Oryzias latipes: one gene and its partners. The protein of the gene in region 2 purifies or fractionates together with the protein of the main gene of each other region. This does not show direct contact. Links are inferred from orthologs where the notes say so. Each region holds a gene or a part of one and is shown on either strand. Other genes may lie near its edges.

Evidence for each region.
Region 1: the proteins of kat8 (region 2) and phf20 purify together in Homo sapiens (affinity purification with mass spectrometry; 3 studies listed by BioGRID and IntAct, counting the BioPlex papers as one, with this or other methods). This does not show direct contact. The link is inferred for Oryzias latipes from reciprocal best matches to the Homo sapiens genes KAT8 and PHF20.
Region 3: the proteins of kat8 (region 2) and msl3 purify together in Homo sapiens (affinity purification with mass spectrometry; 4 studies listed by BioGRID and IntAct, with this or other methods). This does not show direct contact. The link is inferred for Oryzias latipes from reciprocal best matches to the Homo sapiens genes KAT8 and MSL3.

The regions. Positions count from the first base shown.
Region 1 is NC_019863.2:26,153,428-26,157,066, forward strand, and holds part of phf20 (PHD finger protein 20), read left to right. Parts: intron 1-816; coding exon 817-1,005; intron 1,006-1,194; coding exon 1,195-1,290; intron 1,291-1,957; coding exon 1,958-2,113; intron 2,114-2,429; coding exon 2,430-2,611; intron 2,612-2,694; coding exon 2,695-2,794; intron 2,795-3,639. UniProt on the Homo sapiens protein: Methyllysine-binding protein, component of the MOF histone acetyltransferase protein complex.
Region 2 is NC_019866.2:2,389,613-2,393,846, reverse strand, and holds the start of kat8 (histone acetyltransferase KAT8), read right to left. Parts: upstream 2,811-4,234; 5' UTR 2,730-2,810; coding exon 2,411-2,729; intron 1,445-2,410; coding exon 1,370-1,444; intron 1,294-1,369; coding exon 1,115-1,293; intron 1,043-1,114; coding exon 989-1,042; intron 905-988; coding exon 740-904; intron 165-739; coding exon 75-164; intron 1-74. Other genes in the region: E3 ubiquitin-protein ligase RNF25, read right to left, coding at 3,270-3,893.
Region 3 is NC_019860.2:20,774,358-20,778,679, forward strand, and holds the start of msl3 (male-specific lethal 3 homolog), read left to right. Parts: upstream 1-1,521; 5' UTR 1,522-1,651; coding exon 1,652-1,750; intron 1,751-2,084; exon of another isoform or gene 2,085-2,166; coding exon of another isoform or gene 2,167-2,190; exon of another isoform or gene 2,191-2,213; intron 2,214-4,322. UniProt on the Homo sapiens protein: Non-catalytic component of the MSL histone acetyltransferase complex, a multiprotein complex that mediates the majority of histone H4 acetylation at 'Lys-16' (H4K16ac), an epigenetic mark that prevents chromatin compaction.

The DNA of each region.
Region 1 (3,639 bases), on a different chromosome or scaffold from region 2:
TTTGAAGTCTATTCTTTGAGGTTATTACAATACACTGTGGGATCAATAAACTCCCTTCACTTTATCCTTCAAAAAGAATGCATGTAGCATTATTCCAATCATTTATTTTAAGTGTTTGTTCTGTTGTTTTGGTGAAGTTTTATTTAAATAAAGAAGATGGACATCTGTAAATATACATTTGAAGAAATGCTTTACAATTTCTTTTGTTTATGTCAAAGAAACATTGATCACCATCAGAATAAGAAATATGCACGGAAATATGTTATCTTTTCGATCAATCTCATCCGTGCCGTCTCTCCTGTACAGAATGTGCTCAGTTTGCCAAATCTAAATAAATCTTGAATCCCGAGTAAATCTTTTTTATTCTATAATATTAGATTAATTTTTCTAAGGAGGTTTGAACTTTGAGAGTTTAAGCACGAGAAAAGTGTGAAAATGTCCACGTCTGTCTGAGAAAAGTGTTTAAAGAGGAGTGTAGGATTAAAGATAATTTACAGCCTTAAAACATCTGTATTCCTACTTTGCAAATGTCACTTATTTTGGGTTATTTTTAGAACATAACCCCTGTGATAAATGACAAAACACTGTATTCATCAAATGCCTTTTTTCATATTTTCTCTAGTATTTTCAGTTATAAGTCGTGGGATTCTCAATGGAGTTTTTATTTATTTATTTATTTTTACCAAATCCACAGATTTAAGGCTGGTTAATCCAGGTTTGGTCTAATAGAATAAGTCTATGTAACCATTGAAAGAAAAAAAGGGGCTCACCAAACATGTTTTAACCCCGTGTTGACCTTTCTTCTGGTTTTTACAGACTCGACTGTGGGGGGTGCAGCTCATCGTGGTGATGTGAAGACTGCTGGCAGGCGCACATCCGCACCACCTGCAGTAAGCACGCATGGTCAACAGCAGAGGGCGCTGCTGAGGGAGAAGAGCAAAGAGAACCAGCTGGACAGGATCAGCTGCCAGCTGCAGGACTCAGACAAGGGTGGCTTTGACTTTGGTCAGTATGATGCTGGGTGTCATTTTTATTTAAATAAAAAAGGATTCCTTTTTTTTATTTTGTTTATACATATTTCATGCTGTTCATCGTTGGTTTGACCTCGTACGATACACTTCTATTCAAGTACCAGTGGAATTATCTTGGCTTTACTTGGATTGGGCTTAATTCTTCTCACTCAATGGTCTCCAGGGTCTGTAAAAGACAAAACTAAGGAGAAACCAAAACAGAAGGACTTCCTCCGCATTAAACTCAAGAAGAAGAAGAAGAAAAAGAAAGCCAAGTCTGGTAAGAACCAGGTCCCTGGCACAGGGCGAGGTCGAAAAGCTGCTGCCCTGCATGTGCTCTGGCTGTGACATTGTGTGCAAAGTTAAAGCACCTCATTCACTCCTTTCTGTGTGCTGATCGAGCTTCTGTGTGTGTCCTGCTGGTCTGAGTCTTCAAGAAGCCACAGTTTATTTTAGAACCTAAGTTTTGGTAATAATAAGAGTTGTTTTGCCGCTCGAATGCAGACTAATCAAGAAGAAAATACTTTTTTCTGTCTCTTATTGGCATCCACTCACACACATACATATTTGAAGGGTTGACATGGACATTGTTGTACATCCTGCCTGGCTTCCTTTGGCCGGAGGCTTGATGAATTTGTGTTATATCCTCCTGACAAAGTTTGTCATCTGTAGAGGACACTTCTAAACCTGAATATCTCCCAACCCCTGCATACTACTGAATTAACTCACTATAATATCTACAGAGAACATTTGGGGATTTTCAATGATGTGAAGGGGTGGGGCTCTGGGATTTTTAGTTTTATTGGATTTAAAAATGTTTTAGAGGACACGTTTTGAAGGAAGTTTTTAATCAAATGTTTGTTGTCACGTTTTCCTCCTGGGCGCTGAGCATTTTCAAAGCTTACTTCTCTGTTCTACATCTGCTTCCCCCCTCCCTGTGTTAACAGACCACACAGGTAGTGAGGAGAATATTGACATTTCAGTATTGGGTCTTCACTCCAAATTGAATTTGCAACTCAAACCCCCCCTCTCACACAATCACAAACCCGAGGCCTACCCCAGCAGGCCTGGACACAGCTTCTCTGAGCAGATACATGTGGATGGTGGGTACCTTTGTGACGGTGTGAGAGTCTGTGTGTGTGTGTTAGTTTGTGCAGATTGTGTCTTTCTGTGAACGTCTTTGGCTCCTCTTGTTACGTTCTTCTGTTTTCTCTGGATTCAGTCCACCATGTGACAAATCTTCCTCCACCTTAAAACAAATGCTGCCGCTCCCATAGGAAGGCATGGTGGGCTGAAGCCTGAGCTGCTTGCTGCTCCTGCTTGCTTAATCACATAAATCAGATTTTATTTAGAGCTCACTTTTTTTTAACAGAGTTTTCAATCGGGTTAAACTGAATCCTTTTGTGTTGGTTCCTGTAGACGAGGACAGCATAAGTGACTGGTCCACTGACAGCTGCGGGTGGAGCGATGATGACTTCGACATGGATTTGGACGTCACTACTCCACCTCTTAGCACAGACTCTGGTGCCGTGGACACAAACGATCAAGAAATTGTCCGATGTATCTGTGAAGTGGAGGAAGAGAATGACTTCATGATTCAGGTGAGCTGGCAGTTTACTTTTCCAAAGGTTTGCTTTAAGGGACACGGCCTTTCAGTTGGTGAAATATGTTTCTCCTGTGTTAGTGTGAAGATTGTTTGTGCTGGCAGCACGGCACCTGCATGGGTCTGCTGGAGGACAACGTCCCGGACAGATACACATGCTACATCTGCAGAGACCCTCCAGGTAAACGAAGGAAGAACAAAGCAGTGGTAGCATGCCTTAAGTCATATTTGCTTTTTTTAATTTATTTTTTTAAATCCAGTTTAAATGCTTACAGGGTGGCCCCGGATCCTTGATGAAATCTTTTAAGGTCTTAGATTTAATTGACCAAAATAAGGCCATCTAAAATATTAAGTTGTCGTGAATGGTCTTAAATTTTTTTCTGGTCAACGCGATGCGACTTCCTGTCTTTAAAAAAAACTTTTTAGGATGTGCTGTGTCAGTAAGGTCGTGAACTGGTCATGAATCATTTAACCTCAACTACCTAGTTCTCTCACGCTTAGAAAGTGGAGAAATGGGGGTTACTCTTAGTGGTTAAAACTGGTTAGTAGTGAACTGTGATTTGCTAAAAGACATTTAAACTTGGAACAATGCGGTCATTTCGCATGTGTAGAGGAAACGGCTAGCTCTGGCTGTTTGCTTCATTCAAAGTGCTTATTATGAATGCATCAGGGCAAGATTTGGCCAATTGTCCCGGCCATCTGGGTATCGTGATGATGTCTTTTAAAAATTTGTATATTTTTATAGCATTATTTTTATTTTTCATCAATTGCTGTGAATATAATGCTAAGTTCACATGTAGCAAAGATGCTAAAAACTTTTGGCGATGGCTCCTCCCACATGCGTCAAGGCATCCACCAGGTTTATGGACACACTTTTGGACGAGTGTCAGGCAGTGAATTTGACGAACACAATGTCAATTCACTGCTCAAATGGAAGACACAGAAGGATGATGTTGAGAAATCCTATTTATTGTGAAGAGCTCCACGAAAGTGTCTGCAGGCACATGTTTGGGGTTAAGTGATCAT
Region 2 (4,234 bases):
ATAGGCTCCAGCAACCCCGTGATCCCGAAAGGGAATCAGCGGATTTGGAAGATGGATGTTTCCAGGACGCTCACCTTGTGGTCCCGCCCGTCCACCTCGTACACGGAGATGTTGCTCCGCCTGTAGATCTCCTTGCCGGGGGGCTGCCTCCACTGACAGTGAGACTGAAAGAAGAAGAGGGGGGGGTCAGACTTTCCTTGGTTTTCATCATCACGCTGCTGCGTCATGGAGAGCCTGAATGGAGGCAAACACGCGTGAGCGAACACAAAGCAGAACAGCAGCTTCCCGTCAGAAACAGCCGGCAGTCCGTCTGCAAAGACCGGACGTCTTCTCACGGCACAAGAGGCGTTTAAAGTGAACCAATATAATGTGTCCACAACTAAAGATAACTTTAAAAAATAAAATAAAACAGAAAATAATTGAACCCAAATACAGGAAACACGTCTATTACAAAAATATCTATTGCTACATTTCAGGAGCATCAAATGAAACCAGAACAGAATATAAATAAAGTCAGTTGTCTAGTTTTTTGTTTTACTTTTAGTAACTTTAAAGACCCACGGCGATAAAACTTGTTGTTTTTGGGGTTTTGAACATGTTTTTGTGGCATTTTTCTTATGATGAAAGACGTATAGAAAGATAATTAAACCTAAATTTGCCTTTCTCAGTATTTCTTTATTCAAATCGTTGTAAATCAGACAGCTGCCGATATGTGAAAGAGGACGAGAGCTGAACTGACCAGGTGATATCTGAACGTCTTCTCGTACTTCATGTATTTGAGACAGTACTCGCAGATCCACAGCTTGGGCTGCTTCCCGTAGTCTTCAGGAAATGGAGAGAAGTACCAGGCGTCAATTTCAAAGTTTCCTATCTGGATTTTATCCACGTATTTCACTTTGGTGATCTGTACATCCAAAGACGAAACCATTAAAGGGTGAGAAGTTCCACAGGCTGACAGTCAAAGCACACAGAGAGGACGTCCACGTACCGCTTCGTGCTCCTTCTCCAGTGCGGCTGTCGTCGGGTCCATCTCTGCGTACGTCTGAAAAAGGAAGCCGTTAAGCCGACACGACCAGCATCACTGACAGCCACGCCGCAAAGCAAACGTCTCCACCTTCTGCACGTGGTTGATCTCATCGTGCTTGCGCTTCTGGTTGCGTGTGATCTTCCTCTCAGGCTGGTCTCCCAGATCCCCAACGCCTCCAACCTCAGTGCTCTTCCTCACGGCGTCCTTCACCGTCTTGGTCAGCGCCAGGCGGGACTTTCCCACCCATTCGTCCAGACGGCGGTTGACTACAAGAACCATCAGATGAATCAGGTGAAGAGACGCACAGAGGAGGACCAGGAGGGGTAGCAGAAGTGTACTTACAGCCCACGTAGTGCACGTAGAACTCCTCCCTGCCCTCCTGCTCGTTCAGCCGGGACTGGATCACCTCCGCTGTGTCTGAAAACAATCAACAGATTTACAAACGGAGATTAAACAGGCAGTCCAGACAGCAGAATGTCATTTAAAAAGAAAAATAATGCTGTTTACTACATGCGTGGTGGTGCTTACTGGGATAGCTTATGCTTCGATTTCAATTCAGAACAAGGTACAGGGAACTTAGCGGACATTTGTGAGCCAACGGCAGCTTTCTCACGAGTTTGGATCGATTTCACAGCTTCGTGAAGATGAATAAAAACCTACTCCTTAAACACGGAGAAAACTCTCACATCGTGAGAAGTTATATTAATGAGCACGGTAAAGAGGCGTCACAGGTTCAAGCCCTTACTGCAGGATAATAAACTGCACTCGCATGTAATCACCCAAAATGAACGATCCTTTGAAAAATATCAAAAATGGCAGAATCACATGACATGTCTAATGGTGATTACTGAGTCTTCCCGCGAAAACAAAGGCAATCATTAAGACGTAAAATATTAATAACTTGCTTAATTTCCGCTCTATAGATGTATTTTATGTATTTCTGTGTTTATGATTGGAAGCTCTATCGTTTGTGGTCAGCATCTTTTGTCTCTGGACCTTAGAAATGTGTGGCCTGTGGTCCCTAATTAAAGCAGATTTGATCTTTGTTTACATCGTTGTTGTTGTGGTTCATCAAATGATGTCCAATGATGCTAACAGCTGATGAAATGCTAACAGTGTTTACAAACCAAACAGAAACAGCGAGCCAAACACTCAGTCATAAAAATAAAAAATAAATCTACTTTAACCTTTTATTCCTTTAAACTAATTATTTCCTTAATGACAGTATTGTTAACATGATCGAAGCAAAAATACACACCAGCTAGGCAGCGTTTTTTGTTTACATCCTCCCTCTCTAAATTGAGCATTTTTCTGCTAATTTGTTCATTTTTGTCGTCTACCGACTCACTGCTGTTGCTTTACCGGAACGGGAACTTCACTCACGCCATGTTTTGTCCGCTCTTTGACACAAATACGTCACTCCGATTTCCACCGACACCTCCTGCTCCCTCCCGCCGCAGAGCACCCCGCCTCCCTCCGGGGTGTGCTGATTACTCGAGGCCCCGGCTTCTCGTGTCCGGCCGTGGGCCTCCGCCTCGTCCTCCTCCCCGCCGCTGCCGTTGGAGGAGCACGCGGCGGGCATGCTGCTTTCCAGCTCCCCCCGCTCGTGCTCGGGTCGACTCGAGTCCATTTCCACACCGATTCGGGGTTCCGAGTCCTTATTGTTGCTGTAGTTCTTGTGAAAGGCGCTCCCGCCCGTCATCCCTGACGCTTCTGCGCAAACACGCGCTGCGATTCTGCGCAGTTCGACCACAGGTTGCCGGGGAAAAAAGATGGCGCCTCGAACGATCTCTGACTACATTTCCCACAAGCCCTACCGACTGACCTGTGGCAAACGGACCGTATATAACCGTTTGTAGTACATTACGTAGCGGTGCATATTCCATAAGAGTTTAAAAGCCTTTTCCATTTCTGCTCCAAAAACTGAACGTTTTAATTTAAAAATAGGTTTAACTACGTTAGAATGATCAAATAACACAAATGAATTTGTACAAAAATATCAATATAAAACACAATTATCACATCCACAAACATTTTTTAATCGCAGCTCTTTCAGGTCACATGGCATCACAAGGTAAAGCAGCTGCTGTCTGCAGCTGATGTTAGTGAGGATGAAGGAGCATGGCGGCGGCGAGGACAGTCTGAGGTTCCAGTGAGCGTCTCTTCTGTTGCAGGGTTTAAATCTGTGCAGGCTGACGATGGAGGCACACACATGTTGGCTTGACCCTCCTGCTGCCCTGTGTCATAGCACCTCCTCCCTTCCCCTCTCCACCACCCTCTGCTGGAAACCCCTGCCGTGACCCCGGTGGTGTCCGCCTCTGCTTCTCGCAGCTCGACCGTCCCAGTGATGGCGCCCGAGTCCAGGAGGCCCGGCGTGCTGGGTGGGTCGATAAGGACCCCTCCTCCTTCCACTATGGCTGCGGCCACCAGCGGAGCCTGCGCAGTCCTTTAAGCATTCGGATTCCACGGCGGATTGGAGCGAGGCCTGATGGTCGGGCAAAAGCTGCATCTCCTGTTGCGCTGCAGATTCCTCTTCGTCTGTCCTGGATCGGCCCGAGTCTGGGTCCCTGTGCGCCCACTGTTCAGAACCGAGCGGAGCTTTGGTCCTCAAAGGTGCTTCAGAGGACAGAGAGAGTTTGTCCAGGTGCTCCGTGATGGGGGCAGCTCTCGGATGCTGCGGCCTGGTCCTGCCTCCTCTCCTCGGCCCCCTCATCTGGTTCTGACGTCTCTGGCCCTGAACTCCTCTGGAGTGGGACTTTCCAGGAGGAAACGGATCCGCTCGCACGCTGCTTTCATTGGAGGAGGACACCGGGACGTCTGGAGGAACTTCAGCCTCCTGGTTTCCATCTTCAGCAGCAGGTGGAGCCTGAAACACAGATTTCTTTTTCCAGATGTGTCTGCTGTTATCAAACTAAGAGAGAGAACCTTGCTGCAGACATGATGGCGCCTGACATCATCGCCCAAAAGCGCAAAGTCCAGAAGGTGTGGCTCTAGTGTATTAAGTCTTCTAAACTAAACGTGTTCAGATTTGCAGAATTTTCTAAATTAAAAGGTAAAAACGGAAAAAAACATAATTGTTAGTGACGCCAGTTACAATAAAGTTTCTTTTCAGTGATATGGGGGGCCTTCCTGTTCTGGACGCTGATGTTTGCAACAAGGTCCTCTAGAAAAAAACACATCAAACTGTTTCAATTTTAAAGTTTTCTT
Region 3 (4,322 bases), on a different chromosome or scaffold from region 2:
TGCATTACAACCAGGCCCACATCTGAGCTCCAAAACAACAAAATCGGTTTGTTTTTTTACCCCATCACACTAGAACAATTGACCACAGCAAAAACAGAACAAACATCACTCTGAATTTAAATGTTTGAGGAGACACTTAAACTAAAGGAGCTCCTTTGTCTTAAAAAAAAGGGTATAGTTTCATGTTTAAATTAATTGCACTTGCAATTAATTTTTCATTCCCTTCTTTGCTCTCTGATTGATGAGTGTTAGTAGGTTGAGCAAATACCGTTTCCTGTTTTGCTAAACTTCAAGAATTTTTTCCAGAGTTAAACTTTTTTTTCTTTTCAAAGATGTTTGGGATTGTTTTTTTTTGTTTGCTTGTTTGTTTTTATCAAGTCTGAAGTCAAGCATTAGCATGTTTTTGCATTGTTTTCTCAGACCACAATTGCCTAATTTGCAGATATAATCTGACCTTGATCTATTATAAGTCCAGAAGTGTTTTTAGCGATTTTAATCATAATGTTTTTGTTTTGGCATTTTTGTCAGAAAGGGGATAAATAATACATTCTTAAAACTTTTTTAATCCTTTTTTTTAACAAGAAGAAGAAGAAAATAACTAAGGAAATTAATGTAACTAATTTACTAAAACATGTTTGGTTTGGGCAACATCTTTTACTAACATCGTTTATATTTGCAGGACTTGCACGTTGTGCTAAAAATCAATTGTTTATGAAACTGCAATTTTCTTGTAGCCTGGAAAAATAGGAAATCTGATTCTAAAATAAACAAGTGTGAAATATCTATTGTTTTACTGATAAGATGACGACGGCATTTTTAGCATCACTAAGCCAAATATTTTATTTATTTTGGTATTAAGAAAACTTTTTGCAGATATTTTTTGCATCTTTTTATGTAATTTTAGTAAATAAGTGTCGTCCCTTCTTTCACTTAGATTTGACATAATATTAGAATTTTCTAAGAGATTATGTGACTTTTGAAGTAAGATACCACTTCAGATAAAGAAACTGTTAATAATCATATGTTAATTTAGTAATTAACATAATTATTGTGACTGTATGTAGAAACATGTCATTGTTTTAGAAAAGGTGTGACAAAATATCGAATTTTACTTCTAGTTTTTCGGCATGTTTGTACAAAAACATTTTTTTTTATTCTGAAAAATTAGTTTTCAAACTCTTTATGTAGACTTTTTGTGAGCTTATTGTGACATCTATTGGTCAATTTATGAAATTACACATGTACGGTGTCCGTGAAAGACCTGTTTTTGTTGATCGAATTGGAGTTTTGTAAGTTGCTTTCGAATTTATGGGAAATTTGAATGTTATATGAATACAAACACGTCTCATCAGTGTCACTACTGCATGTGATGTTATATTAGTCCATCTCTAATGTAAATGTGAATATTTTCTTCGTTTTTAAACATAAATTTAAACCATTAGAGCGAATCTTCTCCGTAACATCTGGATGATAAAAGAAATTTACGAGCACCAGTGAAAGCACCATCCGTTTTCAACAGCGCCACCCTGCTTCTATTGGAAGCCTGCGTAGAAGAAGACCACCCCGGGCGGGAAATGTTTTGGAAACGAAAGAGTTAAGGAGTTTGTAGCTTCAGATCGAAGTCTTCTCTCTCACACGTCGCCATGAACAAATGAATTCGCGAGGAATTAAATATCATTTTCACAAAGGAGAACGAGTTCTGTGCTTTGAACCCGACCCTAGCAAGGCTAAAGTGCTATATGACGCAAAGGTAACGTTTTCCGCAAACTTTAGCGGGCATTGATATAAGTAATTACACTGTAATAACGGCTTTATGTTTGCAATGGGGTTTTAAAAAGCGCCTTGTGTTTTATTATGAGTGGCGTTTTCTGTCAATAGTAATTGTTGTCGCATCTTTTCCGGGTACGTTTGATTTAGATTTGTCGTGTGGAAAACAGCTTCCGAATAAGTTCTTGAAACTCTCCCAATAAAGCATTTTATGCATATAAAACTCACACGTTTAAGTTTTTGAAGAGTTATTTGTATGCAAATTTCCCAAAACGCACTAATCGATCGGTTTTGGAGCAGGAAGGTAGCACGGTGGCGTTTCGTCCAATCAAATTGGACCTCAGCGTGTCAACAAACAAACAAACCCAGCGCGGCTAACCCGAACAACGCTGTCGTTTCATGCAGCACAGTGGGGTTTCTGAGGTGGAAAAAGACGCCAAACATCGGTATTTTAACTTTTTTTCGCCATATGCATCGATTGCATGACTGTAGCACCGCCAGGCTAATGCTAAACGGCAGATATATGACGGAAAGCGGGGCACTGAAGGAAACCGATGCTAACGTCCGCTAGCTAGCAGCTAGCATAGGCCTGCTGGTAAACGCGATCATTTTTAAACGACGCAGACATTCAATTTTATTTTAGCCTAAATAAAAAAGAAATTATTGTTTGTTAATTTCGCTCAGATGCATGGGATATACAGAGGTTTTAAACCGTATTTCTCACGAATTAGCTGCTTCGTGCTAACTTGGCCATAAGTGACCTAATAAATCCGATATATTTACTAGTCGTTATTAATGTAACTCTTGATTTGTGGCTTTCTTACGTTATTTTAGGTCAGTTTTACGATTTTGCTGTCCTTTTTTGCCCTTTAGTGACATAAAATTTAATTACTATAGGAATAATTTTAATGTTTATAATATCCAGTCAGGACCATAAATATTTGGACAGAGACACATTCTTTCTAATTTTGTTTCTGTTCATTACCACAGTGAATTTTAAATAAAACCACTCAGACGCCATTGAAGTGCAGACTTTCAGCTTTTATTCCATGGGTCGAACTAAAAGATTGCATAAAAATGTGAAAAACTAAAGCATTTTATTTAAACACAATCCCTTCATTCCGTGGGCTCGTAAGTAATTGGACAAATGACATAACTGAAAACAAAATGGTCATTACTAATATTTGGTTGAAAACCCTTTGTTGGCAGTCATACTACAGCCTGAAGTCTTGAACTCATGGACATCACCAGATGCTGGGTTTTCTCCTTCTGAATGCTCTGCCAGGCGGCTTTCAGTTGCTGTTTGTTGTCTGAAGTTTAGTCTTCAACAAGTGAAATGCATGCTCAATTGGGTTGAGATCAGGTGACTGACTTGGCCATTCAAGAATATTCCACTTCTTTGCTTTAATAAACTCCTGCCTTGCTTTGGCTGTATGATTTGGGTTGTTGTCCATCTGTATTATGAAACGCCGCCCAATCAGTTTGGCTGCATTCACCTGGATCTGTGCAGACAGTATGTCTCTGAACACCTCAGAATTCATTGGGCTGCTTCTGTCCTGTGTCACGTCATCAATAAACACTAGTGTCCCAGTGCCACTAGCAGCCATGGACGCCCAGACCATCACACTGCCTCCACAGTGTTTTACTGATGATGTAGTGTGCTTTGGATCATGTGCTTCTCCACGCCTTCTCCATACTTTTCTCTTGCCATCATTCTGGTAGAGGTTGATTTTGGTTTCATCTGTCCAAAGAAGGGTTTTTCAGAACTGTGCTAGCTTTTTTAAATGCTATTTAGCAAAGTCCAATCTAGCCTTCCTATTCTTGAGGCTTATGAGTGGCTTGCATCTTGAAGTGTACCCTCTGTATCTACTTTCATGCAGTCTTCTTTTGATGGTAGACTTGGATATTGATACGCCTACCTCCTGGAGAGTGTTGTTCAGTTGGTTGGCTGTTGTGAATGGGTTCCTCTTCACCATGGAAATGATTCTGCCATCATCCACCACTGTTGTCTTCCGTGGACGTCCAGGTCTTTTTGTGTTGCTAAGTTCACCAGTGCTTTCTGTCTTTCTCAGGATGTACCACACTGTTGATTTTGCCACTCCTAATACTGTAGCAATTTCTGGCATGGTTTTTTTCTGTTTTCTCAGCTTAATGATGGCTCCTTTCACCTGCATGGAGAGCTCCTTTGACCGCATGTTGTCTGTTCACAGCAAAATCTTCAAAGTGCAAGCACGAGTCCTCTAATCAACTCCAGGCCTTTTATCTGCTTCACTCATAATGACATAACAAGGGAATTGCCCACACCTGCCCATGCAATAGCATGGAAGTCAATTGTCCAATTACTTAGGAGCCCATGAAATGAAGGGATTGTGTTTAAATAATGCTTTAGGTTTTCACACCTTTATGCAATCTTTTTGTTCAACCCATGGAATAAAAGCTGAAAGTCTGCACTTCAATGGCATCTGAGTTGTTTTATGTAAAATTCACTATGCTAATGTACAGAAACAAAATGAGAAAGAATGTGTGTCTGTCCAAATATTTATGGTCCTGACTGT